Daphnia pulex: one gene and its partner. The protein of the gene in region 1 binds, or shares a complex with, the protein of each later gene. Links are inferred from orthologs where the notes say so. Each region holds a gene or a part of one and is shown on either strand. Other genes may lie near its edges.

Evidence for each region. Proteins that work in one complex are often made in the same cells at the same time.
Region 2: U4/U6.U5 tri-snRNP-associated protein 1-like (region 1) and U6 snRNA-associated Sm-like protein LSm7 share a complex: the UniProt entries of both Homo sapiens proteins name them as parts of the U4/U6-U5 tri-snRNP complex. The link is inferred for Daphnia pulex from reciprocal best matches to the Homo sapiens genes SART1 and LSM7.

What each region holds. Positions count from the first base shown.
Region 1 is NC_060026.1:10,447,563-10,451,320, reverse strand, and holds the start of U4/U6.U5 tri-snRNP-associated protein 1-like, read right to left. Parts: upstream 2,465-3,758; 5' UTR 2,439-2,464; intron 2,338-2,438; 5' UTR 2,136-2,337; intron 2,055-2,135; exon of another isoform or gene 2,032-2,054; 5' UTR 2,019-2,031; coding exon 1,853-2,018; intron 1,798-1,852; coding exon 1,627-1,797; intron 1,570-1,626; coding exon 1,244-1,569; intron 1,180-1,243; coding exon 918-1,179; intron 860-917; coding exon 560-859; intron 495-559; coding exon 211-494; intron 138-210; coding exon 1-137. UniProt on the Homo sapiens protein: Plays a role in mRNA splicing as a component of the U4/U6-U5 tri-snRNP, one of the building blocks of the spliceosome. May also bind to DNA.
Region 2 is NC_060025.1:134,848-137,398, reverse strand, and holds U6 snRNA-associated Sm-like protein LSm7, read left to right. Parts: upstream 1-910; 5' UTR 911-1,000; coding exon 1,001-1,009; intron 1,010-1,244; coding exon 1,245-1,449; intron 1,450-1,526; coding exon 1,527-1,663; 3' UTR 1,664-2,030; downstream 2,031-2,551. Other genes in the region: XK-related protein 7-like, read left to right, coding at 1-98; myotubularin-related protein 10-B-like, read right to left, coding at 2,095-2,282, 2,351-2,551. UniProt on the Homo sapiens protein: Plays a role in pre-mRNA splicing as component of the U4/U6-U5 tri-snRNP complex that is involved in spliceosome assembly, and as component of the precatalytic spliceosome (spliceosome B complex).

The sequences.
Region 1 (3,758 bases):
CTGTCGTCGGAACCTTGATCGTTTTCACGTTCCAGAACATTCCATCCACCGCGTTCTTGAAGACGCTCAGCCTCCCTTTTTCGCTCTTCTTTTTCTTGATTTCTTCTGCGTTCTTCTGCCAACTGTCGCTCGAAATCCTATTGCCAAAACAGAAACGCAATTAATTAAAGTCAAAACCAAAAAAAAAAAAACATTCATGCAATGAATTACCATTAACTCATCTTCGTCTTCATCACGATTGCCTGCCATACCATAGGTTGGTATGTCACCAAGAGTACGACAGAATTCTGCTGTGGCATTCAGTATGATACTACTCTTCAGAGGATCCTCTTCCATACCTTCCGTTTCTTCCAAAGGCTCGCGTTTTAATGACCGCGTAATCATGTTCATGTCCCACTGATCAGCCTTCCTTTCTTTTAGTTTATTAGCTTTTAATAGTGCCTGACGTATTTCTTTTTGGGATTCGTCTACAGTAATCTTGAATCCGCTTAAATCTGGCGTTGGATAAACAAGACATAATAAGTAATAATAAAACAATATACTAGTCAAACTAAAATACCTTCTGTGACCTCTTCATCCATTCTCTTCTTTCGAGATCTCGATCCCAAGTCTGACGAAGTTGTTTCTTGCGTTTCTTGAATAAGATCGTCAGCTTTTAAAATGCCGTCGCCTTTGGATCGAACCTTTTTGACGCGACGTTTAACTTTTTTGAAGGAAACCATTTCTTCTGCTGTATAATATTCAGATGCAATTTGGAGCGGTCGCGATTCCAGTGATTCAATTTTCTTCTGTTGCATTTTGAGTTTGTCTTTCATCAACTTTTGGGCTTTCATTTTGGCTTCTTCATCTCCAATTTTACCTAGAATTTTAACATAAATATTTTTGTAAAGATCAACAAAACAAATCTAATATTTTACCTAGGACAAAGCTATCATGTTTTTCTCCTTCTATTTCTGTGTCATATTTAGCAAGCAAGAGCTTTGGTTTGGGAAGGCCCAATTCATCAACTTCTTCCTCTTCATAGGGCTGATATCCCGGTCTCTGTTTCTTGATTTCATTGTTCTTTTTGTAGCGTTCTATATCAACAAGGTTGACATTCACCAAAACATCCCCTTCCTCTTGCAAGATGTTTTGATCTTTAAGAGTCAATACTACTTCTTTCCCTTCAGCTATCATTTCCTAACAAAATAAAGCAACATCAACACAGGTATTCAAATAAAAGTATACGTTGTCGGTGACTTACCCGGTCATGTTCTACTTTTATTCCTCGTAAGTCTCTACTTGTGTATGCTTTTGCTTTTTGTTTAATCAGTTCAGTAGTTACCATATCTCCTACACCAAATGCTTCATCCATTTCTTCAAGCATTTTTGCTCTTTTATTAGCTTCTTCCTTTTCTTTCTGAATCCTTCTTGATTTTTCAACCCAGCTAACAGCATTGTCATCATCATCAGCTGTTGTATGAGCAAGAGTGCGCACTTGTGCAAGCTTTTGTTCTATTTGCCTCTTTTCTCGTCTTTCATCTAGTTTTCGTCTCAACTCTTCTGTGGCTTTCTTTTCACGGAGGTTCTCTAGAGAAATACCACATTTAAATTGTACAAGTAAAGACATTTAAATGAAATCATTACCTGCTGGGACATGAACATCCTTTTTCTCAGTACTGGCTTCAACATTTGAATTTTCTCCTCCAATCTCCAATGGCTTCAAACCAAGTTCAGCTCTTATTCTGTTGGTTTCCTCAATCGAAATGGAAGTATCATTGGTTGAATTAGCAACTGGTCTTTCATCATTCCCTTTTCCTTAAAAAAAATTATTGGTTACTAGTTACTAATAAACATAATTTTGAATACATACCTGTCAACAGTTCTTCGCTCTGAATGTTGAGACTTATATCTTCCTTTATTTGTTTGGATTTGACGGAGGCATAACTTTTTGAATGTGATCTTGACGGAGACCTAGATGGGGAACGATGTCTTCTTTTTCGAAAATTATTATGATCGCGACTTTCTTTTCGGTCCATGTCTCCTTAAGAACTGAAAGAAAGTAGTTTAACTTAGGTGGGAAGTTTTGATTTCTTTAAACATAAAATTTTTTTCAATAGAATTCCTTAAAATATCAAACAATAAAAGTAGGGTACCAGAATCTGTATTCACTTAATGATCTTGCAACAATTTTACTTCAGAACTTGAGAACTGAGAAGCAGACTTCAGCTTTTGCAATATTTATTTTGATGCCGTTGGGTGTTGGTAAATTGCTAAATGCGGGATTGGAAAGCGGGGACAAATACAAATCCATTGATTCCGCAACAGATGGCGTGTTAATCCTCCTATTGAATAAAACTTAAAAAAAGAAAACAGAAGATAAATTTATCCGTAAATCAATAAAGGAAAAACATAATGAAAACATTAAGGCCAGTATAGTTTTTAACTATTTGTTTTACATGTGAAGACTTGTGCGGCAAAACCAAAAGTCCAAAACGAACAATGTCGTTGTCGATTTTTGTTTATACTAAGGGTTCCAAGATTCCGCACCAGGTTCGCTAGTGAGGTAGGCTGATCGCCTCAAAGACTATAGATGTTATTCCAATGAAAAAGTAGTAGTCGAACAAAAAGTCCTGCGCAGTTTACGCCGATGCGCACCACTGCGGCCGATAGCAGAACCAGAGCAATAGATGCCTGGTCGGTTCTCGGCTGTGTTGGCTTCCCTATCCCGGTTTTAGGGTAAACGTATCCCCGATTTTCAGACATTTTAGGGCGGAGCTTGTCAGAATTGTGAAGTAGAAACTGGAAACAGAGCCATCTAGGCTCTCAAAAGTAGCTAAGCGTAGTAGCTGACACACTCACTAGAGCGCTCATTCCAGTTTCCAAATCGGACCACGTTTACCCTGAATATAGGGTCTGTTGGGGTGACCACCCCCTCTCGATTTTCGCAGCGCTAGGTGGCTTATAGGATGAAGCCCGGCATGGCCGAAAAACGAAGAAATTTTTAGAAATTTTTTCAAAAATTTCAATCGTTAATATCTCGGCTTCTGAGCCGAGCATCGAAAAAACATGAAAATTGTTTGAAGAGGTGGGCTATCCCATCATTATGAAACAATTCGAATATTTCCAGGTGCAGCAGTTGACGAGAAAACTGCTGCACAAAAAACGAAAAAAATTCCAAATTTCGGCTACCCCCTCTCAGTTTTTTTAAAAAAATCTCCCAAATTACAAAAGCTAGGCGATTGCGGTTTTCAGCAATCGACTTAGCGAAAAATTTTGCACAAAACCCATCTATTTGTTAATTTTTAGAACCCCTAGCGACGATTTCCGCTAAATCAAAAACGGCCTCTTTGAGTGGCGAATCGCTTGTTGAATCGTTAGGAATATTGCTCAATTCCAGTTCGAAGTTGCCTAATTCCAGTTACGACAAAAACAGCAAGATAGAGTTGCATTTTGGTTCGGAGAAATAAACTGGTAATACTGTGTTGTTTTTTGGTGGTATATCTTCGTTCCATCCAAATATTTCTCTGTGCAGAGTGACTGGCAAGTTCGATTCAAGAACATACAACAACATCCTCAAAGAACATATTCTTCCTTTTTGCAAGATGAAATCAACTAGACATATTGGTGTAGTACATGACTGGTAATCTTATTTTCACATTACAAATTAAATTTCTTGTGTGTGTATGTTACCGAATATTGTTATCAACTGTTTATAGGTTCCCGGTTAACCGCAGCAAAGCTGCTATGAAATTTGTTACTGAACCAGAGGGTAACAT
Region 2 (2,551 bases), on another chromosome or scaffold:
TTAAAGAAATCAACAAAATGCTGCGGGAACGCGACACTAGCCCAACTCAAACAGAAAACCAGCCGACATCAGAAACAGCCTTAACCTTATCGCCATAAATTGTTGATTTTCTAACATGGCCATAACCTTATTTGCTCCTGTTTAATTGTCACGTTAAGAGTGATCTTGACTTTAATACAGAATCACACCTCTATCTGCCACCTCTGCTGTAACTTGTAAGCTGACAGTATGAAAGTCTCTATCTAATGACATGTAACATTTTTCTCTTACAGTTTTTAACCTTAAGGAATGGTAGATCATTTGATTGACACTTACCCCAAGACAAAGTGATTGGCTGGACTCAATTGGATTCCATTATTCAAAAGTGGCAGCTGGCAGGATCAGACTCAACGATACAGCAGAGCAGGCTACTATCCAGGATCAGTTCAATTTTAACCTGAAGAAAAAAGATTTCCCATTTAAAAAACTCGTTTACTGTTCGGTGTAGATAGACAGAAAATTTGAAATATCAAAAGAATCGTTCTTTTCAGATTGTCAGGCCGCGACGACTAAGATGAGTGGAGGGAATCGTGATAGGAATCTATCAAATATCGTATTGTTCTTTTTGTTGTTGGCATTCAATAAATTGACCAGCTCCTCATGAACACCAATACAGTGTCGGAATAGTATCAAGTAATCTGATTTCGTCTTATAGAATTCAAATCAAGCAGAGTTACATCGAAACTTGACTCATCATATTGCCTGCAAATGTGGGACCGTTGCCAGTCCATCTCCGGTCCAAACTGATGAGGCTTTCAATAAATCCACAGTAAAAAAAAACGCCATCTAAAATATTCAATGAATGGAAAAATAATTATAAAGAAAAGATTTGAAAAAAAGAGTGGTTAAAATATTCATTGAAATCAATATTTGGCACCGGTGCTGCGCTATTCCGATTTTGATTTTTACAACATTGCAGACGACTCTATTGTTTTCTGTACACCAAACCCAAACGGCAAAAATGGCAGCCGTAAGTATTTAATTTACTAAATGAATTAGTGGTCTATAATCCCAAGACATGAAATGACAAGCACTGAATATATTTAAGCTATGAATAATGTCTGAAAAACATTGATCTGCCTGTCGTAAATTGGGTACAATTAATAGCAATGCGTCACGTCACTCATGGCTTTTATTGGCTACTGCTTTAGAATTACATCATTCTGGGTTTTGCTAATAACGTTATTCATTTCCTTTCTTTTTAGCAAAAGGTCGATAAATCCACACCGGCAACAGGTAGCCCAGCAGATTTAAAGGAGAAGAAGAAGGAAAGAATCTTGGACTTGTCCCGTTACATGGACAAGTTGATCAGAGTCAAGTTTACCGGAGGCAGAGAGGCAGCTGGTATACTTAAAGGTTACGATCCTCTACTCAACATTGTCCTGGACAACACGGTAGAATATCTAAGAGGTAAGACTTGAGAACTACCACAAATTGTATGTGAAACAAGATTGACTTAAAATTCCTGTTATGTCTTGTATTTCTAGATTCGGAAGATTCATTCAAGTTGTCAGAAGACACCAGACAGTTGGGCTTGGTGGTTTGTCGTGGAACAGCTGTTGTTCTCATCTGCCCTGCTGACGGTATGGAAGCCATTGCCAACCCTTTCATTCAACCAGAATAATTGATTTTTTTTTTCTAAATTGAACCAATGATCATTTGTCTGTGTGTTGTTTCCCAATTTTCCAATAATAAAAGAACGAGAAAAAGGTGAAATAGTATAATAATATTATTAAAATCCTTCAAAAAAACGGATAGGTAAAAGAACACGGATCGACAATGATAATAATACGATGATTTGAATAAATGATTCAATTTTTATGCAATTATATAGCAGTAATGCAAAACAGAATTATATTTTTAGAAGGCGATTAGAAAAGAGCCTACGAAGGTCGAATTCATATTTATGTACTTTTAAGTGTAGGAAAATTGGAGAGGCACCGTCTCATCTTTCTGTGTGAATGTCACAACATTCGGCCGTCAAACGAACTGGACAACGTGAAATGAATCGAGAGGAAAATTCTAAAGGCAATGATAATAACTGATGTTCAAATCTCAATCGGTGACAAAAGAGTCGGAATCGAATTCAGCTTCGACGGCCCGACTTCCAGTCGAACGGAGTGTGGAGCCGGAAATGACGGGCGAAGGAACAATTTCCCACTCGCCGAATGACAAGGCAGAATCGTTTTGTTGCTGGACGAACGGGTGGAAGCTGCTCAGCGTCACCTGACTTCCAGGTTGGCCTGAATAAGAAATCAAAATTAAGAAAAAACAAACAAACAATTGAAAGTGAGTCGACAGCGGTTGATACCCGGTGAATGGTCGCTCATGGTGACGAAACGTTGACTTGGCGACGAAGAAATGTCCGCCTCGCCATTGTTACTCAAGTCGTGCTGCAACTGGCACTGGTGCAATTTGTCCAGCTGCGATTCTAGACTGAGAATGTCGTTGACCAAGGCGCAGTGATGGAAATAGACGGGCGGATGTCCACCACCGCGGACGTCGAGAACCG